Alligator mississippiensis: one gene and its partners. The protein of the gene in region 3 interacts with the protein of the main gene of each other region in a biochemical or structural test. Links are inferred from orthologs where the notes say so. Each region holds a gene or a part of one and is shown on either strand. Other genes may lie near its edges.

What was found.
Region 1: the proteins of TRIM28 (region 3) and fructose-1,6-bisphosphatase 1 form a complex in vitro, tested with the Homo sapiens proteins (2 studies listed by BioGRID). The link is inferred for Alligator mississippiensis from reciprocal best matches to the Homo sapiens genes TRIM28 and FBP1.
Region 2: the proteins of TRIM28 (region 3) and IRF1 form a complex in vitro, tested with the Homo sapiens proteins (2 studies listed by BioGRID). The link is inferred for Alligator mississippiensis from reciprocal best matches to the Homo sapiens genes TRIM28 and IRF1.

The regions. Positions count from the first base shown.
Region 1 is NC_081826.1:205,422,783-205,430,668, forward strand, and holds the start of fructose-1,6-bisphosphatase 1, read right to left. Parts: upstream 3,085-7,886; 5' UTR 3,027-3,084; coding exon 2,857-3,026; intron 469-2,856; coding exon 306-468; intron 1-305. UniProt on the Homo sapiens protein: Catalyzes the hydrolysis of fructose 1,6-bisphosphate to fructose 6-phosphate in the presence of divalent cations, acting as a rate-limiting enzyme in gluconeogenesis. Plays a role in regulating glucose sensing and insulin secretion of pancreatic beta-cells.
Region 2 is NC_081832.1:67,482,033-67,490,090, forward strand, and holds the start of IRF1 (interferon regulatory factor 1), read left to right. Parts: upstream 1-4,973; 5' UTR 4,974-5,079; intron 5,080-7,280; 5' UTR 7,281-7,285; coding exon 7,286-7,372; intron 7,373-8,058. UniProt on the Homo sapiens protein: Transcriptional regulator which displays a remarkable functional diversity in the regulation of cellular responses.
Region 3 is NC_081828.1:75,675,011-75,682,037, reverse strand, and holds the start of TRIM28 (transcription intermediary factor 1-beta), read left to right. Parts: upstream 1-3,983; 5' UTR 3,984-4,124; coding exon 4,125-4,344; intron 4,345-7,027. UniProt on the Homo sapiens protein: Nuclear corepressor for KRAB domain-containing zinc finger proteins (KRAB-ZFPs).

The DNA of each region.
Region 1 (7,886 bases), on a different chromosome or scaffold from region 3:
AAGGAAAGATGACAGAATTTAAGGCCCAAAATGGGAAAGAAAATGTTGTTGGAAGAGAACTGTAGGAAGAAAGAAAATATCAAGAAACCAAGCAAGAGGGAATAAAGACTCAGCTGAGAGAATTAAGTCAACAGAAAGTGAAAGAGGTTGATTTTGAGAGAGTTCACTCATATTTTCCCACATCCAGAAAAATTCAGACCTTTGGCCAAGTTTCTCCGAAATCTTTAGGTCAGGTTTTATTTGTACACATTTAAAGGAAAATGTAACTTGAAATCAAGTTCTGAAAAGGTTTGCAAATTACTAACCCTTTTGTCAGGTTCTACTATTACAGCACTTTTGTTTTCTTCTGATACAATAACACATGTGCTGAAGGATGACTTGAGCACATTAATCACCAGGTCATTGGAAAGGATATCCAGCTTCTTTACTTGGTCTCCTGTCACATTGGTGGAACCAGCAATTCCATAGCTATAGCAATGAAAAAGATTGTTCCTCATCAGACAATCTACGATCTGTTAGTCATTTAAACTTAACATGAAATAGCAAATAGTTTGTGCCAGGGTTTTAAGGAAAGCCAAAGCACTGAACAGACGGAAGTTGCTAGCTATGCATTTGGAACAAGACATTAAGTACTAGATTAAGTTTTGACAATGGCCTCCCTCTTCTGTAGGTGTAGGTGGAATATTTCCCTCCATTCAGATCAACAGCTAGTTCTTTCAAAGTTGAGACCCTTGCTAGGAATTTAAGACAGGAAAGCTTCGTTTCTTCTTGAAATGAATATACTTTATGCTTGCATTGAAGTACATTTTACAGCAGTTGTTTCAGAAGATATAGCAACCACGGTTTTCTAGTGCTACTAATACATGTCCTAACAAACAAACACTACTCTATACTGATAGAAGCTTTTTGAGTCCATGAGTCTTCTGCTACTTGCTGTATGTGTGAAATTATTTTCATTTTTATTATATTTCTCATTAAGTATTGACACGGCTCATTACTACAGGCATTTTGAAAGTGCTGATCAGCATAGCACCTGACCTACCAATAACATGTAAAATATTGTAAGAATGATGTTGCAGAAAAGCTGCTTCACCTTTTATTTACCCCTGCAAGAACCCCCCCCCCCCACTCATTTCCTGTTTTGCTGTCAGCATGAAGCATGCGTAGTATTAGCTCTGATTGGCTGACTTGTGGCAACACCCCTGTTCTCTTCTAGGGTTGAATCTGAAAGCCTTATTCTTCTAAGATGCAAAACTCTATTCTTTTACAGTGCAATCAGGAAAAAAGTGTTTCATTGAATTTAATATTAAATGGTGCCAACATATTAAATTACAGACAGCAATTGATCATTAAGCCAGATATTATCAATCTTGGTCTTCTAGCCCATCTACCTGGTTTTCCAGTTCAAAGGTTGGGTATTCACTGAATCAAATTCAATTTAATGAAGACTCTGCCAACTGCAAGGATTTGGGTTATTTCACATCTTGTATACCAATAAACCCACTGGGCCCTTTAAAAAGGAAGAGTCAAAACTCAACACTAGCGACCTTCAGCAAAGACTAGCTAGAGAAAAGAGGGAAATAGTAGCTACCTTCAGCAAGGACTAGAGAGAAGAGGAACAAAACTAGAAAATGCCAAAATGGAGTCTGAAGACTTCCCAGCATTTGCTTCACCTACCAAGCTAGTCTAAGATATACATGTTAATTATTTATGCCATTATAGATCAGAGTCAAAAGTTGAGTTAGGTTTTTTTTTTTTAAATAAAGTAGTAGTATCATCACAGGTGGTGTTGACAGGGCTTTTAATATGAGGGGGACTGTTTTCTGTTCAGCTGTTTTATAAGTTTCTATTATTTTGTACTCTGTGATCTCATGTTGAGGTTGCTCCTGCTGGTGGGCCTAGACAGGGAAGTATTAGGGTAGGGCAGGAGAGCATACATTTCCTAGGTACGGTCCAGTAATGCCAATATTTACAGGCCAATGCTAGCTTGATCACCAGAAGAGCAGCTTTCCCTTGTACGGCACTCTTGGCCATATTTAAAAGGTGGGGTCAGTCTGCTCCTTCTACACTAACTAAAGTAGGTAGGTAAAGGTATCTATCCATCTACCTGTAGAGATCTATAATCTACATACAGAAACACAGGGAGATGGGTATATCTCTCTCTATACATATATAAATGTATCTATATCTCTATACAGAGAGATAGCCCAAGCTTTGCTGAGCTAAAGCTGTCTTCATCAGCTCTCTAACGTAGACTCCATCTCTTTATCTACAGGTAGCTGGGATGATCTAGTTGAGGATGGTTCTGCTTTGAGCAGTGGTTGGACTAGACTAATGATTTGCAACCTTTTTTTGGTACCAGGACCCATTTGTGAACCTTGATGGCCAGTCCTGACCTCCTGCCCCAGCCCCCCAGTGTGAGGGGAAGGGGGTAGGTGTGTGTGGGGCCTGGGGGGCTCCAGGCAGCCTTTTCTCCCTTTAAAGGAGAATCCATTTTTGAAGCTTATACATGACCCTTTCATAATATACTCTTGCGACCCACTTTTAGGTCCTGACCCCTGGGTTGAGAAACGCTGTACTAGAGGACTCCCGAGGTCCCTCCCACCCCTCATTGTCTGTGACTCTGATGGCCAGTCCTGGCACAAGCTTCCCTGAGCTGAAGTTCACCTCCTCAGCTGTCCAGACGGCCAGATCTCTGTGTCTCGCCACAGGGGGAGACAGATGCCTCTATAAAGATGCGTGGCCCCAGCAGGCCTCCTCACACGGACACCCCCTCCCTCTCCGCCCCGCTCCCTCTGTGCGGACGGAGCAGGCGGTTCCCGCGGCTGCTCGGCTCCAGCCCGGGCCCGCACTCACAGGTTGGCGATGCCGGCCTTGCGCACGGCGGTGGAGATGGCCTTGACGGCGGTGCACAGCGAGTTGAGCAGCTGCGTGAACTCCCCGGTGCCCCGCGCGCGCCGCCCCTCCTCCATCACGAAGCGGGTCAGGGTCAGCACGTTCGTGTCGAAGGGCGCACGGTCCGTCATGGTGGCAGCGTCGGGGACGACGACAAGGACGGGGACAGGTAGCGGCCACACAGCCAGGCCGAGCTGCCGCCGGCCCCGGAACTAGCCGCGGCCTCGGGGGAGGTGCCCGGCCCGGCCTATCGCGCGGCGGGGCAGGGCTGGACAGGCCAGGGCCCCGCCTCGCCCCGTCCCGCCTGCTTCGTGGTTACCTCAGTCCCTCAGCCTGCGTCCCAGAGCAGCTTCAGTTCTCCCTGCCTGCCTCCCAGTTATCCCAGTCCCTCCACTTGCCTCCCAGAGCAGCCTCAGTTCTCCCTGCCTGCCTCCCAGTTATCCCAGTCCCTCCACCTGCCTCCCAGAGCAGCCCCAGTTCTCCCTGCCTGCCTCCCAGTTATCCCAGTCCCTCCGCCTGCCTCCCAGAGCAGCCCCAGTTCTCCCTGCCTGCCTCCCAGTTATCCCAGTCCCTCCGCCTGCCTCCCAGAGCAGCCCCAGTTCTCCCTGCCTGCCTCCCAGTTACCCCAGTCCCTCCGCCTGCCTCCCAGAGCAGCCCCAGTTCTCCCTGCCTGCCTCCCAGTTACCCCAGTTCCTCCGCCTGCCTCCCAGAGCAGCCCCAGTTCTCCCTGCCTGCCTCCCAGTTATCCCAGTCCCTCCGCCTGCCTCCCAGAGCAGCCCCAGTTCTCCCTGCCTGCCTCCCAGTTATCCCAGTCCCTCCGCCTGCCTCCCAGAGCAGCCCCAGTTCTCCCTGCCTGCCTCCCAGTTACCCCAGTCCCTCCGCCTGCCTCCCAGAGCAGCCCCAGTTCTCCCTGCCTGCCTCCCAGTTACCCCAGTTCCTCCGCCTGCCTCCCAGAGCAGCCCCAGTTCTCCCTGCCTGCCTCCCAGTTATCCCAGTCCCTCCGCCTGCCTCCCAGAGCAGCCCCAGTTCTCCCTGGCAGCCCCCCAGTTACTTGGCTCCCAGAGGCTGCTGCCTTGTTTTCTCTGTCCCTCATCCCCTGCTCAAGGTCAACCCCCTAGAAGGAGCTAGACTATGGAGAAGGGTTTCCCTGCTAAACATTAGAAGCAAATCCACACGTGCTTTTTTTGGAGAACCTCATAGGCACGCACGTGGACATGAAGGCCTGTTGGGAAGCAGCCGAGAGCTGAACGTTTCTGTTCTGGTCCTGTTCACAGGAGCTCGTTGCTACCTCCTCCCTCTCTAGAAAAGGGCTAGTTAAGCGTGACTGTCAGTAACCGAGGACTAGGAAAGGCAGTTCAAATGCACTCTGCGGCATAGCTGGGGGCATCTCTTTGGTGGGACTACTTGGCTCTCCAGGTTGCTTTCCGTTTCAGCTAATATTTGTCCCCAACTGCATTAAAATAAATAACATGTCTAACTGCTCAAAAGCATCCAGGCTGTGTTGTATCCTGGAGCAAACCTCACCAACTGCTTCCAGCTTCCTCCTTTTTTTTTTGCTTCAAGCCTCTGAATTCAGGTGTAATTCTGCAATATGCAGAAAGACCAGCCAGGTCTGTCTGAAAAAAAAAATAGTCCTACTATATCCTTATATGTTTGGCCCGTACTGTTTAAATGTGATGGCTATAATGGGGAGAACAAGTACAGGTACTTTTTCTGCACCAGCTTTTCTGAATTGTGACATGTTACACCGAACAACTTCTGTAAAATTTGAGATCTAGTATAGATTTTTATGGCTCTTGGTAAAGTCAAACCCCAAATTATGCAATCTAAAAAGCAAACGTGTAAGTCCCTTTTATCTTGCATGGAAAAAAAAAAGGGGTCCTGATGCAACCTGGCCAAAGAGCACTGGAAAAACACCTGTTTAGTAACTGATTCTTCTGAACTTTTAACTTCAGCTGCCCAAATTCTGTTGCCTAAATCAGGGCTATCGAACTGGCAGCCCACAGATCACATGCGGCCCACAATTGGTCCTGGGTCCCCCACTGTACTATGTGCACACTCCTGGCAATGCAAGCTTTACTGGGATGAGGGGAAAATGTCATAGCTAGAAGAATGAGGGGAGTGGTGCCTGGGTGCGAGCCCAGAGAAAGGGGGATCATCTGTGGCCCCTGGGTTCCCACCCAGGTACCACTCCCCTCATTCTTCCAGCTTGTGTCTTGCCCCTATTTCAGGGGGCAGTGCAGCACAATACAGCCTGCAGTAACAGAAGTGTGCATCAGATACAGTGGGGGATGCGTGGCTTACTGATAAGGCATGCGCCGCCCCGGTCACTTATTAGAAGCTAGACAGCTCTGGTCTAAATATAAGGGAAAAAAGTAGCACCACCAACAGATTTAGAGCCAATCATAAAGTGGTACCATATCACTAACAAAAGTATTTATCAGGCACATAATTCCAATTTGTTATTATTAGAACTTGCTAAATAATGCTCCGGTTCTACAGTAGAAATCCAGACATGAAGGCATAACATATCAACAGTACTTCAAAACACATCTTACTGGACTTGGTGTTGGCTATGGGGGATGACCTGGTAGGGGAGCTGAAGATTTGTGGTAACCTTGTTGGTCACTGTCCCCAATCAATCAAATTCACCATACGGCGTAGAGTGGGTAAGATAACTAGTAGGGTGGAAGTGTGCTTAGGAGTTTAGTCAATGACGCACTGTAGCAGTGGGGATAGAGGGCATAGAGGGTGCGCAGAGGTGCACGTGCACCCCCTGAGAGCACTGGTGCACCCCTTAACCAGCCGCATTTGCCACTTAGGCAATGAGCAGGAGGGGCAGGCAGGAGTTTCGATGCCCCCCCCCCCCTTGCAAGTGGCAGCCAATCGCTGTAGCCACTTCCAGAAGCGATTGCAGCCACTCCCAGAAGTGGGAGGATTGCCCCCCCCCCCCCCCCGGTTGGCAAGATAGGCCACAGAGGACCCCCTTCCCTGGTTGGCGGGACTGGTTGAAGGGGGAGCATGTGCCCCCACCACAACTAAGACAGCACCAGTTGCCCATGCACTGCAGGATAGGAGTATTGGCAAGATGGGAGTCCAGGAAGGGTGGTCATTCCTAAAGGAAGCAATCCTTCGGGCACAGAGAGAGGCAATCCCAGTGCGAGGAAAAGGGGGGAAAGGGGACAAAAAACTTCCTTGGCTAAACAGAGAAATCCAGGAACCCAAAGGAGGCATATAGGTGGTGGAAGCGGGGGGAAGCTACCATGGAGGAGTATACCTACTTGGCCCGCACTTGCAGGGAGGCAGTCAGAAAGTCTGGCAACACAAATTAAAGACAACAAAATGTCTTTTTTAGGTATGTAGGGAGTAAAAGGCAGGCGCAGGGCAACATAGGACCCCTACTGAACAAGAAAGAGCAATTAGTGACAGACAGGGGGAACAAGGCTGAGGTCTTCAATGAGTTTTTTGCCTCAGTGTTCCTGAACAAGGGTCAAGATAAGTCTCCTAATGGGTACTTAGGTGGGCATCAAAGGGACACCCGCCTACCAACTGTCAACACTGACTTGGTGCAGAGTCACTTGGATGGACTGGATGTGTTAAAGTCGGCAGGCCTGGATGAGCTGCATCTGAGAGTACTGAAGGAATTCGCCAGTGTCATAGCAGAACCACTGGCATGGATGTTTGAGCGCTCGTGTTGCTCGGGTCAGGTCCCGGAGGACTGGAAAAGGGCCAGTGTGGTCCCTATCTTCACAAAGGGGAGGAAGGAGGATCCGAGTAATTATAGGCCAGTCAGTTTCACCTCCATCCTTGGAAAAGTCTTTTGAAAAGATTATTAAGGATCATATTTGCAGGAGTCCAGTGGGAAAAATAATGCAGCAGGGCAACCAGCATGGATTTGTAGCAGGTAGATTATGCTTGACTAATCTGGTTTCATTTTATGACCAGGTCACAAAACACTTGAACACAGGAGTAGAGGTGGATATCCTTTTCCTGGATTTTCGGAAGGCCTTCAATACGGTATCTCATCCCATCCTCATAAATAAATTGAGAGGCTGTGACTTAGATGTTTACATGGTCCACTGGGTGGCAAATTGTTTGGGGGTCACACCCACAAAGTGGTAGTAGAGGGATTGGTATCGACCTGGAAAGATGTGGGTTGTGGGGCCCCACAGGATTCGGTCCTTGGACCGGTACTCTTCACTGTCTTCATCAGTGACTTGGATGTGGGCGTGAATTGTACTCTGTCCAAGTTTGCGGATGATACTAAATTGTGGGGGGGAAGTGCACACTTGGGAGGGTAGGGAACGACTGCAGGAAGACCTGGACAGGTTGGATAAGAGGGCAGAACACAATAGGATGCAGTATGACAAGGACAAATGCAGAGTGCTGCACCTAGGGTGTAAAAATATCCAGCACACCTACTGGCTGGGGAATGATCCTCTCAGCAGCATGGAGGCAGAAAGGGATCTTGGAGTCATAATGGACTCATGAACATGAGTCGTCAGTATGACGAAATAATCAGCAAAGCTAACCACACCTTATCATGCACCAGCAGATGCATGACAAATAGAACTAAGGAGGTGATACTTCCCCTCTATGCAAGCATTGGTCAGACCACAGCGGGAGTACTGCATCTAGTTTTTGGCACAGTACTTTAAGAAGGATGTGGATAACCTTGAGAGGGTCCAGAGGAAGGCCACTTGTATGGTTAATGGCTTACAGGCCAAGCCCTATGAGGAGAGACTAAGGAACCTGGACTTCTTCAGCCTCTGCAAGAGAAGGTTGAGAGGTGATCTTGTGGCTGCCTACAAATTCATTAGGGGGGCACAGCAAGGGATCGGAGGTGCTCTGTTCACCAGGGCACCTCTTGGGGTAACAAGGAACAACAGTCACAAACTGACAGAGAGCAGATTTAGGCTAGACATCAGGAAGAATTTCTTCATGGTCAGGGTGGTGGCAATTTGGAATGGACTTCCAAGGGAGGTGGTGCT
Region 2 (8,058 bases), on a different chromosome or scaffold from region 3:
CTGATGGCCTAAAGGAAGGTACACAGACATGCCAAATGTAGCTAAGGTCATCATTTGGCCCTAAATCAGTGGACAGCATTGGCTATGGATGAATCAGTACAATTCCCAAAGGCTAGAATTGGTTCCCCCTCTTCTCCAAAAATAAACAAGTGCCTCTGAGTTTAGGGGTGAAGAAGATCTGCATTAAAAAAGGATCTGGAAGACAGGAAAAGAAATTAAAAAGGTGTGTGGGGAAGAGGGGAGGAAGCTGAGTGGGCTAGGAAATAGGGAGGGCTCATGGGTGTTGCCATGGACTTCGATCCTTCCAGGACAAAAGGCAGTTGTCTCTTGGGGTGAGGAAGAGGAAGAGGAGTAAGAAAGAGGAGCGAGTGACTTGGGGAGGGGTTAAAGGTGGTTAAAGGTGGACACCGTGACATAAAGGGCATGGAAAAGGTTCAGGGGCCCAAGAGAGGAACAAAGAATATGAGCAAGGGACTAGGGGATCATTGATAGGGGATTGCAGGAGCTGTGAAAGAAGCTTGGGGAAGGGCAACTGGTGGCAGTCAGCTCCTGTCTGCAGGAGAGAAACCCTGTACAGATAGAGTACAGGAACAGGGATCCCTCCGCTACCCCCCCGGAGACTTTCTATACCAGGGTGATTCAAGATGCTGAACAAAAGAGGGACCTGGAAAGTCGAAACTACTAGATGATTATGAATATAGCTGCTCTCTGCAAAAGTTTTTAATTAACATCCTCCCAACTGTGTGCCTGGATGCATAGATACAGTATCTTCCCCATTTGCCAGTTGCGTGCATTCCTCTATGGCTCACTATCACATCATCCAACCTGCACTGCCTGTTGAATCTTAGCTTTGCCCCCTTGTTCTGTTCTGGTATTGAGCTATTATATCAGTTATTTTGTTTTGAAGGCAATTCCCATGGCCAGAGAATTAGCCTGAAATCTTACTTCAGTTCCATACTGTGCTGAGTTTGCGAGTGACCTGGGTTAAGGCACCCAAAGACAGGCTTTGTAACTTCTCTGGACCAGAACCTTAGTGATATTTTTAGCAATGCTTTAAAAAATGTGGGACTTTGAGCCTCCATTCCCCATATATAGAACTGGGAAATGAATATTTCTCTTTGTCAGAGAGATTTTGTGAGGATGACCATATAAAAGAGAGGGAGATAGTATCCAGGCACTAGTGTTGGGGCCCTCATTGGTGTCTACGATAAGTGTAACAAATGATGAGAAAGGAAGATTCGCTGGAGTTTAAGGAGTATTAGAATTCATTCAGAAGACAGAAGAATACTTTAATGAATGATTCAACTGTTTATTTCTTGAAGCGTGTTGATACTTGGTGGTTAGAGGTCTGTGTCAGTGTTTGTAAAGTGTACACGTTTGTACTATTTTTTAACTATATGATTCAGCAACTACCATGAGCAGGGCTTCGTTCTGGAGTGACTAGGTTGTTAGTATAAATAGAATACATGGGAATAAGAGATGAAATTTTAAAAACTTCTTGGTACTAAGAACATGCAACATAAAGAAGTTGGTAAGAGACAGTGTTTTTTTTTTAATTTCCTGGTTTCAGTCACATGATATCTAAAAGAAGGAAACAAATCAACACCACCCAGTTTATGCAAAAACCTTTTGCAAGTTATGCTGTGGTATTCTGCAGCACAGATCTGGGGGAAGAATGTGGGTCTTTGGGCCAAACTCAATTCTCAGTTACATTACATTGAATTGAGTGGAGTTACTATAGACTTAAATCTGCAGAAGAAAGAGCAGAGCAAGATGTGATCATCCTTTTATGCCTTCCTATTCTGTATTATTTGCATTACAATGTCTACCCATAAGAAGCGCTCAGACTGAAAATACACAGCAATATACAGTAAATCACAATATACATCTCACATGCCAATTAATGATACTGTGGCTCAGAATATAATAAGATTTTAAAGTGAAGTAAATTTTATAGACTAGTAGTCGTGAATGACGTGTGCCCCCAGAGGCTGGGGGGGCACGGCGAGTTCCTGCAAGTGGCGGTGGGAGCATGGCGGAGGCAAGCGGGGACCTGCTGCAGGCAGCTGCAGCGCTGCTGGTGGTGGAGGGGTGAGCGACAACCAGTGGTCAGCGACCACCCCCAGACACTGCTGACAGCATAGGCGGTGGCTAGTGGTGATCAGGGACTGCCCACAGACACTGCCGGTGGTGTCAGCGGCGAGGGGTGTGTGGTTTCACATGGGGTGCACCATCATGCTCAAGGGGTGCATATGTACTGGGGTGCATATGCACCTGCGTGCACCCCCTACACATCGCCAATGCTAGTGGTTTTTAACTTTTTTTCATTTGTGCACTCCTAAAGAACTTCAGATGGAGGTGCAGACCCCTTTGGAAATTTTTAATGGAGGTGAAGATCCCTTTGAATTGTAAGTCTGGTATTCACATACTTTTGATTGATCATAGTCATCTTTCGCAGACCCTTAGACATAGTCTGTGGACTCCCAGAGGTCTGCAGACCACAGGTTGAAACCACTGTTCTAGACCATCTTTACACAACAATATTGCTGACAAGGTAACACATCTTCTCCACTGCTAGTTACTTTTAAAATAGTCTGGAGTGATACAATTTTCCAAATAAATGACAGCTCATTGTCTTGCACAGAGTGAAGGAACTGCCTCTTGTTGAGAATTGGACACATCCTTTCACTTCTACCATCTTGTCTGCCAGTCTCTTCTGACATTATTAGCTTATCTACTCGGGAGGTCTTGTCCTTTAGACGGAAAATCTTTTGCAATAGGGACTGCTATTCCCTATGCATTTGTAATTGCCAGCCCCAAAGGGTCCTGACCTGAGTGGCCAGAAGTATAAAGGTTAAATAAAAATATGAATAAACAAAGATTTTTTATTTTTATTTTATTTAGAGTCTATGCTTCTAAAAAAACCAACCAAAAAGTCTAAGAAATAAAGTATGCTTTTTCATCATGAAAACAGCTTGTCTGTGAAGGAAGGACAGGGTTTGGGTTAATCTAAGTTTGTGAACTTCAAATCCTACTTGGATACTGTTAGAATGCCAACATGAAATGATGAACAGTGTTTAAAAATGCATGCAGCTTTCTGGATCCCAGGCACACACACTCCCCTCTCCTCTCAGGGGTCCAGTCAATACATCTGGCTCCGCTGAAATGGAGGGAAGTCCTTCTATTGACTTCTTTGGCACACATGTAAGCAGCCCAACAGGTACAGAAGAGGACAGAATGTGGGCCCAATGCAGTTACTTTATTTTCTTTAGGATAGTCCTTTCAAGTCAGTCCTTCCCTGACACACAGCTGAGGCCTGAGAGAGGATGGTGGTTGTGGGTGTGGGGAACAGAAATGTCCCCAGATCTTGCAAAAATGTCATTATTGTTTCCATGCCCCTCTCCTTTGCAGTGGCTGCTGTGAAAAAAATAGATGCATAAAGTAGGATTTATTTGAAATGGCTGCTATGAGCTGCTGAGCATGTTACCTGGTAGACGATGGTGCTGGAAAATCAAAGATACCCACATTGTGCAACATTTTGTAGCCCCCACAGGAGAGAAAGACTGAAACCACACTCAGCCCCGATTGCTTACAAGTCAGAATATAACTAGGCTATGAGATCCAGTTTAGATCATTCAGATTTTTAACCTGGTTACAGGGAAGTGGTCAGAGGATGGCTGTACTACTACTTTTGAACTCAGACATGCTGTAAGCAGGGACCTTGACTCGGTTCTGGTCTCCACAGGACCGAGCTGCTACTTTTAGACCCAAATGTCATTCCCCAGCATTTAACACTCCTGAATTTTGAGCTGCTAACTAATGCAAGATCACACTTGAATGCATGTGAGAAAAGGACAGCACCTTGATTAAGGTAACTGCACAAATCGATTCATAACTCTCCCTCCATACTACAGAAGTGTAAAACTAGTCATTCCCCACTAGTCATCTCCCACAGTTTCCCCTACACTTTTATTTTTCTCAGATACATTTTATAGGCTTTGCTTCCACTGGCCAAAACAGATTCTTTATAGCACCTGAAACCTCACAGGACTGATGCTGAGCACGTACATGGCTACAAGGGGCACCTTAAAGACTGGTTGCACGCGAGGGCTGTGGGTGACTCAGTAGGTGGCAGTCTGCACAGGTCTGACACCCTCCAAATGTTAAAGAGGACTGGGTTGCCGAGTCTTTCCAATGAGACATAACAGAGCCACAATCACGGGGTGCTGCTGTTAAAGTCCCAGTGCCTTCTCCTACAGTGAGAACATTAACCTCGGGTGCGCAGCCCAGCTCCTAGCTACCTCAATATAATGCCTTGTAGAGTCAAGCGGAAGTCACATTGTTATTTTCTTCTGGTCTTAAACTTCTCAGGGCTGCCAAACAAATGGGCTGGCTCTTCAGCCAGCGGACAGCTGAGATGCAGCCCTCCCCACTGCCTGCTGGAATCATGATTAAAAAAGAGCATATAGGAGTGCAGGCGCTGACCCCGAGACCACACGGCCTAGGCCAAGGGGTGGCAAGCTTTTTTGAGCGGGATGCCAAAAACACCCACAACCTCGACTCCTAAGATGTCGGTGTGGTGCGGGGTGGCAGGGTTGCTGCAAGGGGCACCAAGCAAAGTGCCTTGGCGTGCCATGCTCTGGCATGCATACTGACAGCTGGTTTGGAGGGCTCAGGGGGGCCCAGGCTGTTGCGGCTCGTGGCCCTGCCGGCCTGGCATTCAGCTCCTCTGCCCCGGGGCATCCTCCGCCAGCCTCTGCCCCGTGCAGGGCTGCGCCCAGGGGAGCCACCTGCCGGCGCGGGGCGGGCGGGGCGGCCGTACTTCCCCTGCCTCCGCCGCCGCCGCCGCTGCCGCTGCAGTGACAACAGCCTGATTTCCCCGAAATGATGGTGGCGCCGCAGCCTATGGGCGGCGCGCGAGGCCGGGCGGCGGCGCGGATTGGCCGGCGCGGGCGCTGCCGGCGGGGAATCCCGTGCGGGGGGAAGACTAGACCCGCGCCCAGCCCGCGGCCGGCACTGAGCGCTGCGCTGCGCTGCGAGCCGGCACCCACCGACCCACAGACCGACGGGCTCACACAGGTGGGTCGCGGCTCCCGCGCGGGGCTCGGGCTCGGGCTGCAGCACTCCGCCGGGCGGGCGGGCGGGCGGGCGGGAGCTGCAGCGGGGCGGGCGGCGCAGACCTGCCTGCCGGGGACCCGCGGGCGCTGCTCCGCTCGGGCTTGGGCTCGGGCTGCGGCGCGCCGCTTACCCGGGCGCGAGAGGGGCCGAGCCCGTGCCGCTGCCGGCCAGCCCTGCCCGGCGGCGCCGAGCGTCCTGCACCCCCCGCACCCGGCTCTGCCTCGTCCGATTAGAGAAGTAGAGGAGTCCAGATACTTGAACACACACGCACACACACTATATTTCTAGTATAATTATATCAACATAGTCTATATACTTTTAACACACACTTCTAGTATAATTAAAAGTATATAGACTATTATATGTATATAATTCTACTAGAAGAGTGTGTGCGTTTAAAAGTATATAGACTAGTATATGTATATCATTATTGTACTATTATATTATATTTATTATACTATTATATGTATATAATTCTACTAGAAGTGTGTGCGTTTAAAAGTAGATAGACTAGTATATGTATATCATTATTGTACTATTATATTATATTTATTATACTATTATATGTATATAATTCTACTAGAAGAGTGTGTGTGTGTGTGTGTGTGTGTGTGTGTGTGTTTAAAAGTATATAGACTATTATATTTATATAACACACACTTTCCAGTAGACTTATATAAATATAATAGTCAATATACTTTAACACTCTCTATTTCTAGTATAATTATATTAATATAGTCTATATACTTTTTACACACACACACTATTCCGGTATAATTATATATGTATAATAGCCTATATACTTTTCTCACACACATGCACACACTGTATTTCTAGTACAATACACGTATCCTCAAGGCACACACAACAAGAAAACACCTGGTACGATGTAGGAGGGCGCTGTGGAGGATGGAGGAGCTGTGAACAGAGGCTGTTTTCTGAAGGGAAAAACAAGCAGGGATGTGCTTGAAACGCTGCCAGCCTTGCAGCCCTTCACGTTACTGCCTCTCCTGGCCCCAAAGCAAAACATTGCTCTCCACGTGGAGAACCGGCTGGCAGGAGTGGGCTCAGCAGAAGAAAAAGGGAGTGTAAAAGAGCTGAAGGTTCACTTGGAGAAGAGCCTCTTATTTAGTCTCCCAGGTTAGGAAGGAAGCCAGAAACTGGACTGTGCAACTCTGCCGCCTCTGCCAGCCTGCTCAGGGGAAAAAAAAATGACTGTTTGGATACCTCTGAAAGCTGGAGTTCCCGTTTTGAAATTATTAGTTAGAATAACTATATCCATGGCAAGAGCTAGTGCTAGAACGAGAAGCTCGCAGCAAAGTGTACAAGTTTCTAGCAAACATGTTGCACTTCCTTGAAGGGAAGCTCGTTAGCACTAAACAAGAACTGGACACGCCCCAGGACATTTTTTTTTTGGTAGACTACGAATCAGTTGAGAGAGCAATGTCCTGCCTTGGTCCTCTCCCTGACCCAGTTAAATACATTTTAACAGTTATTTAAATACTATATTGCGCATGCAGTGCTCCTGAAAGCCTGACAGCCCTAAAACCTGCTCTTTTGTTGTTGTGATTCATGGCAAGTCTGACACAGGAAGTGGCAGTTTAGACTTCCCTCCACTGCCCTACCAGCATGCCTTGCCCACAACCTGCAGTAATTACCTTGAGAACGAAGAGGGAGGAGTTCAGAGCCCACAAACCTTTGATTCTTTTGCATTTTCCACTGGGATTGCCAGGAAGAATATACTGGATGTGCCCTTGGTTTGACACCCGAGTATCTGTTCACCGGGTAAAGGTTCAAGACCAAAAATGCATTTCATGTCAGCCGCCAAACAGCATCAGAAGATAAAAGTTCCCTCTTGCAACAGAACTGGGCAAGTGTCCCAAAAAAGGGAAGCGGCTTGCTATCCCAGTGCTGGTGTCTCAGGTCATCCAGTTTCCTGACAGCACAGCTTTATTTAAGTAAGTTACTAGAGTGATGATTTAAGTGGATTCAGACAACAGTGCCATTCAGATACAGGCAGACGGTGCTGGAAGAGATCCAAGTTGGCCAACTTGGTTTTTGCTGGCCCTTAAGGACAGTAGTAAGCATGGCAGGGTTGCATTGCTAAAAAGCCTAGAAGGCAGAACATTTACCTTTTTGCTGATGTTATTTTCCTTTCACAGACAAAATGCCAGTGACAAGAATGCGCATGAGGCCTTGGTTGGAAATGCAGATCAATTCCAATCAAATACCAGGACTGACCTGGATCAATAAGGTGAGGACTCTGTCATTACTTCTGTAGCTATCAGTCATACTCAACAGGCCCTCTGCTCTTATCTGATAGTAAATGCAAATCCAGGTCATATACCTAGATCGGAAGGAAATAGAGAGACTCTACCCACACTATACAAGACAACATTTTTGTTTTCAGAAAAGAAGTAGCTGTCAGTCACTTGATCATTGACCTGACATTGTCCAAGGAATCCCTGGTTTGGGGGTGGAGAAAGAGGCAAGACCAGTTTGGGAGCCAGGGACACTTCAGATGAGCCTGTAACTATGACTTGTGCTTAGGCCAAGTCCTCTTGTACTTGCTTAAGTCATCTGGGTTAGATCCTAACCATTTAATGGGACCATAAAACCCAATCTTAGGTGGTGTTGAGCTTGTTTTCAATTAAAGTCAACACTGAGTGAGAACCAACTGCAAAACCCTTGCACATGTACAGCGGCTTGCTATCCCAGTGCTGGTGTCAGGTCATCCAGTTTCCTGACTGTAGTTTTATTTGAGTAAACTACTAGAGTGATGATTTAAGTGCATTCAGACAACAGTGCCATTCAGATACAAGCAGAAGGTGTTGGAAGAGATCCAAGTTGGCCAAGTGTTTAGGCTCTTCCTTACCAATTCAGGACATATCTAATTCTCTGAGTGTTTTCAACTACAAGGCGCCTTGAATACACCTGAAA
Region 3 (7,027 bases):
CACACATTTCCTGGACCATCATAGCTACAACACTCCACCCCAACTACTGACATTGAAATAAACATTCACCCACAACTCTACTGTCAAATACACCATCACCTGCTTACAATGCCCCGCTGCTGTCTGCAAAAGCCCATGGCAGAATATTTTAATCTCCCTGCTGACTTCAATCCATCATCCCTGCTGACTTCAGGATTGTTGCTCTCAGACAAAAAACAAACAAACAAACAAAATAAAAACCAGTATGAACTGGAAATTGCAGAACCAGGAAATCATCCACAAACTGTACTGTGTTAAGTATGGTTTAAACTGGGACTATGTTATCTCATTACCTGGATTAGCTTTTGTAACCCTTTTTCTTCTGTAGGTTTACTGCATCTTTGGTTTTCTCTCCTAGCATTGCCATCTTCTCCCTATCTCTCTAGCTTCCTTTGTCTTTTGTACACTAATTTCTCTCTCCTTCCACTCTGCTTTCTGCACATCCTTTCACAGCATCTGATTAAATGAACTTGGGTTCACAAAAGCTTCTGTTTGCTCATGCCTGCATAGATATAGATCTGATTTAGTTAATATAAAGGTTCATATCTACCTTGACTTCTGATTGAAATGCAAACCATTTCACTCCCTTGAGCGTTGGTAATTGGGAGCTCAGGTGGCACAGGTGCTAAGGTACAAAGTTGACAGTCCCGAGGTTGTAAGTGTGAGGCCATAGCAGAAGCACTCAGTGTGTGGCCCTGTCAGATTCTAAGGAATCTGTGAATTTTGGCAAATACCTGGTTGCACAAGGACATAAAAAAGGAAGAAAAGTACTGGTGATTCACTTGGCCTTCCAGGAGATGATGTTGTGAAGCAAGACCATCTCCTCCAGCATTAAGACAATGTTTTCAGTGAATGCTCTTATCTGGCATTCTGGATATGGAGGAGGACCATGTCAATGATAACCTGCAATAATGGGGAGATTGTTGGGACCATCAGGGTTCAGAGTCCAACCACAGCCCTCTCCTTCTGAGAGGCAGGCTCCAAATTACAGAAAGCCAGTGGCAGTTCAAGTGAAGAGCATCTTTGCCAAGTTGAACTTGGAGTCCCTAGTTGCTGAAAACAGCCTGTGTACTTGTGGGTGACAGATGGACATGGCTCTCCATGCAGGAGCCAGCAGCTGGTATGTCTACCATCTTAGAAGCCTGCGGCAAATGCAAAGGTGCTCCCAAGGTGTAATGCAAAAAAACTTTTTGGGAGTTCACAGCTTACCCTCACTTATCCCACAGCTGCTACCACAGGTTCTGGTGTTAAGCCCCAAGGACACAAGATGAGACTGCAGCTTAATGAGTAGCAAGGACGAGACTGCTGCAGCATTGGGCAATGACTGGGAGTAATAGAGTGATGGAGAAAATCTTAAAAGCATGACCCAGGGCACCTTGCAGACTCAGAAGTCAGGATGAATGACTCCTGCCATCCCTGTTTTCCTCTCTTTTAAAAAAAAAAAAGACTTCATAGGATCATGGGAAGGAACCTTACGAAGTCATCTAGTCCAAGTCCCTGCTCAAGGCAGGACAATCCCTGATTAAACCATCCCAACCAAGTGTCTGTCTAGCCTGCTTTTGAAAATTTCCAAGGATGGCAATTCCACAACCTATGTAGCCTGTTCCAGTGTTTGACCGCTCTCATAGTCTGAAAGTTCCTCCTGATCTTCAACTTAAATTTCTCTTGCTGAAGCTTGAGGCTATTGCTCCCAATCCTGTCCCCTGAAGCCACAGAGGAAAGTCCATTTCCATTCTCTCTAGAATCACCCTTCAGGTATTTGAAGAATGTTACCAACTCCCCTCTCAGTCTTCTTTTCTCCAGACTAAATAGTCCTAGTTCTTTTAGCCTTTCCTCATAAGTCTCGTCTCCCAGACCCATCATTTTTGTTGTTTTCTGCTGGATGTTTTCCAAACTCAGGGGCGACATATAGGAGGTGCATGGGGGTGCATGTGCACCCCCTGAGAGCACCGGTGCACCTCCTGTCAAGCCATGCTCCCTGTGTAGCTGGCAGGTAGGGTGGCAGGCAGGAGCACCAATACCCCCCTGTGAGTGCTGGGGGACCCCCCTGAGCCATCAGGATTGGCCACCGGGGGAGTACTCCCCTCCCCAGCCAGTGGGATCAGCCACCAGGGAACCCCCTGGTTGCTGACTGGTGTCAGGGGGGCACGTGCCCTGCCTGACTCAAGAGGCACCAGGCACCCATGTCCAAACTGTACATATCCTTGAAGCATGAGTTCAAAAACTGGACCCAGTACTCCAGGTGAGGCATCCCCAGTGCTGACTAGAGAAGAAGAATCACTTCCCTTGGTTTGCAAGTGATAGTTCTATTAATACAACCCAGTATAATGTTGACTTTTTTTTGCAGCAAGAGCACACTGTTGGCTCAAAATCAGCTTATGGTCTACCATAACTGCCAAGCCCTTCTCTGCAGTATGGCAAATCATTTCCCCATCTGTATTTGTACATGCAGTTATTCTGTCCCAAGTGCAGAACTTTGCACTTGTCCTTGCTGAATCTCACCTCATTGCTTGTGAACCATTTATTTCTCCAGCCTATCCATCCAGATCGTTCTAGATCCTAGGTGGCAATCCCAACCAACTTGGCATCATCCGCCAATTTGCTACATGCACATTGGATCCCATGCTTCAAATCATGAATGAAGATATTAAAGAACCCTGGGACCCAGGACAGCCCTCACTTGATACCTCCTCCCAACTAGACACTGAGCCACTGAGGACTACCCCGACAAGGATTATCCAACTGGTTCTGTATCCACCTTGCAGTACTTCCCTGCGGCCTGTACTTCCTTAGCTTGTTAATGAGAAAGTTGTGACTGTGAAGCCTGACTCATGGCAGGGTTGAGGCTGCCTCATCCTCTTCAAACATCCAAAAAGTAACGTCCAACCAAAGGCCCTCAGTCACTCTGTAGCAGGTACAGCTCAGACACGGCATCCCTGGGGGGGAATGAAACCCTGGGTGCTTTCAGCAAGGTCTCGAGGTTGGGCTGAGAAAGGAGGCGTCTCCCTGGCAGGGACAGCCAGCTTGGCTGGGCATGGGGGGGGGGGGCAGGGGTGAAGCCAGAATGACTGAGGGGAGCAAGGCAGTGTCATGTGCAGGAGCGGCCTACTGCAGCAGCAATTCCCGCAGCGCTCGGCAGGGCCGGCCTGGAAACTGGAGGGCTGCTCTGGGCCTGAGGGGAAGGGGTGGAACAGACCCCGCCTTAGGTGAATCTAGTCCGCCAAAATTCTAAGCGGCTTCAATTTAAGCAGCTTTAATCAAAGTGGCAGAATTTAGTGGGGTCAGACCAGCAGGACAGGACAGGGCAAGCCTGTGGCTAGGCTTCCTGGAGTGACTCCTGATTCCCATCCTAGGTCAGCCACCGAGGCCGCACGTGGGGCGGGGAGGGGGAGCTCAACACTTCCAACGAGGTGGGGCGGGAGCAGAAGGTCCATCAGAAACGATCATTGGCCCTCTGCCCTGTCAGTCACCGCGGCCCTCCCAGGCCGACAGGCACCGCCCCCTGTAAATCCCACAGCTTCGGTGGGTGATTGGGCGCCAGCCCCGCCAGGCCCTTTCCACGCGGCAGCAGCTCACTGAACGCTCGAAAACTCTTCCCGCGGGGTGGGGGGTCCCTCCTAAATCATTCTCAGGCAGGAGGGGAGAAGACGCAGGATTGGTCCAGCAAGTTGTCATTCTTTACAGCCCCGCCCTCGCCCGCTGATGCCGTTCAGTGATTGGCCTGTTCCCATTCAATCACTGCCTACGCTACAGCCCGCCCGCTCAGGTACGTACAGGAGACCAATGGCCGCCTCCCCTCCCCCTTTCCCACTCCCAGCCGGGCCTTGGAGCCCCGCCTCTCCGCCGCCTTTTTGAGAGGTGATTGGGTGGGTTTGCCGCGGCCGCTAGGCGGGCATTGTGACGCGCCGAGAGGGGGCGGGGCTAGGGCCGCGCCGCGCTGGGGGTTGCGCGCGCCGATCCCCTTGTCTGAGGCGTTTTGTTTTGTGTGCGGCGGCGGCCGGAGCCGGAGCAACGGCGCGCGGCCTTGCAGGGGCCGACGGGCGCGCAGCGGCTGCACAGGCCCGGAGCGCGGCGGCGGTGCAACGATGTCGGGCCCAGCGGCCGCGGCCGAGGCGGGTGGCCCCGGCGGGGAGAAGCGTGCGGAGGCGCTAGACCTGGTGGAGCAGTGCGGCGTGTGCCACGAGCGGCTGCGCGGCGAGCGCGAGCCCCGCCTGCTGCCCTGCCTGCACTCCGTGTGCCGCGCCTGTCTGGGCCCCGAGCCCGAGCCGCCCGCCTCCGCCGGCGCCGCCAACAAAGAGGAGCGAGGTGAGCGGCGGGGGGGCCGGGGCGGCCGCGGGGGCGGGCGGCGCGGCGCGGCCCGAGGGGGGAGGGGGCCCGAGGGTGATGGCGCGGGGCCGGGGGGAGGGGCGCCACGCGGTGCGGTGGGGCGGGCCGGAGTGCGCCCCTCCCTGCGCGGTGTAGGGGGAGGGGGCGGGTCTCCCGGGCTACCCCCAACGGCCCCTCGCCTTCCCGAGCCGGGCGCCTTCCCCGCTGCGCCGCGGGCTCTGGGCTGGCGGGGCCGGCGCCTCCTGCGGCCCAGCTCCATTGGCGGCCGGCCGTGGGGGAGGGGGGATCCCTCCCGATCCCCGGCTGTGCGGGGTCAGCCCCGACGCCCAGCTCCGCCTCCGCTGCCTCCATCCTTCTTCCTGCGGGCCGGGAGTGCAGGGGCAGGGCTGGCAGCTTCAGCGCCTGCTGGGGAGCAGCCCCACAGGCTTGTGGGCCGGAGCCAAGGGGTGGGGCCTGGCCTGGCCTGCTGCAGGCAGCCAGCCAAAGGCCTCCGGGCCGTGGGCCTTCTGTCTGCTGGAAAGGGGACGCTGCTCAGCAGGAGTGCTAGAGACTTCCTGCCTCCCCCTAGAGATACTGGCTGGAGAGTGTTGTCCACTTGCACCCTTCTAGACACCAGCTGGTAATGGTCCAAGTAACCTTCACTTGTGACAAGGCTTCAGCTGCAGTACCAGCATACACGTTTCCTCAGTTGCTTATTTTTTTTAAAAAAGAAGAAAGCCTCCTTGTTGCTGCTTTTATTCCAGCTAAAGTTTCTAGTGTGGGACTCTGATTTTGCAACTAAACTGTGCAAGGCATTCTTGAAGGATGCTGATTTACCTAGAGGTGAGCTAGGGGTGTTCAGGGCACCTGTACTAAAGAAACCAAGTCCTCCAAAGGAGCGTGTGAGGCAGCTTTGTTGAAGACTGTAAAAACATGGAGCAGTGCAATATAAATAATGTGTAACAGGAACATGTGCGGTAAAATTACTTGTGAACTTCATAGAAAGAGAGGATTCGTGCTGCAGTCTGAACAGTCTGTAACAGGTGGCTCAAGCCTGTTAGAGATGATCTTAACCAAGGTTGAGTGACTTGGTTCTGAGGATGTGAGGGTCTCTGTTACACTCACTGATAGGAACCTCGGTATGAACAGTTGTCCAGTGCTGGAGGTATCCCATCTTTGGACACATGGCATTTTATTACCTCATTTTATTAACTCATCTGTAGTATAAAACAGTATTAAAAATGCAGCAAACTAAAATACCTAGTTTAGTCTCCTTGTTGGCTACCTAGCTGACTAGCACCTTCTGGTTAAGAGCTGAAAAATCCCCTCTTCCTAGCATTCTTTTACCTACAACAATTTCCTTTGGTTTTGGGTTGTTTTTTTTTTATTGCCTTTAAGTTATGCCAACTTATTCTGTTAAAATATGTTGCAGCTTCCAGGGATGCTTTTCCTAGTCTTGCTGCTGCAGGCTTGTTACAGATTGAAAACCAGTAGTCTTCATTCATGTCATTTGGCTGGTCAACCCAAATGATAAATACCCAGGTTCAGAAATCCAAAGTTCTCCTGAAAACATGCAGTTCTATACATTATTTTCTAAACCATTCAGTTGCATATTAACACAGTGTATACACAGCTAGATATTCTTTTTTCACTTTATATCATGTGTTATCATTTCAGTTAATTTTCCCCACTCCTTAGGCATTTTTATCAAATTCCAAGTTTCTCAGGAAGTTGCACCATAATTGAGGAGACACTGAAAGGGTATTTAGGATTCATTCTTAATCACTTAAGACTTTTGACCCCTCCCAGGATGTGTTCACTGCCTTATTGTTACATTCTGGTCTGACCATTAAGTGTCCCTGAGGGGCTTTACTCCCATCCAGAGAGAACCAACAAAGTATCCTATGGCCTAGAAAATGGTCTACAAGGAGAAGCCTTCTTAGAGTCAGTGTTTCATTTAAGTGGGTGTGAAGCCTATACTTTATAGCTGTTCCTTAAGGAAATGTGCCTTGGGCCTGGCTTTTGTATAGGCTTTGTACTGAGTGTTTTGGTTAGGGGGTGTGATTCTTAACCTATTACCAAAAACACGGTACCATTTGGTTTTTCCAGAGACAAGACTACATACCTGTAGCCTGTAATAATAATGACCTCTTTGCAAGCTTAGAGGCAGAACTAAGGGACAGTTATAATTGCTTTAATGTTTTTTATTTATTTTTATTTTTTTTACACCAAATCAAGATACACTTGCATTTCCCAACGATTCTCCACTTCCTCTTAACAGGTAAGGTATCAGCTTTAAGGTGGATAAAGAGGTAAACCAGGTCTATAGAAGCCAACCTTTTATTGATTACAGCCCAAGCACAGGAGTAAGCATTTGTCTGCCTAGCTATCTGCAACAGCATAATACAGATTCTTGCCTGTACAGCTGGTATAGGAGGGAGGAAGAAGGTAGCATACAGACTGGCTACCAGGTTGTTTTGAATTTGCTTCGGTTTTCCCAAAATCTTTTGTTTACTGCACCTAATATTTGTACATGGTTTATTTTAATAAATGTTCTTTGATTGGTGGTGTGTCAATTTCTTTGTTTTACCAAGATTTGGCAACTGGACTGAGCCAGTTGTTATCTTTATGGACTTGGAAGATGCCAATTAGTTTGAGTTAGTGTCCTTGTAAAAATTACAGT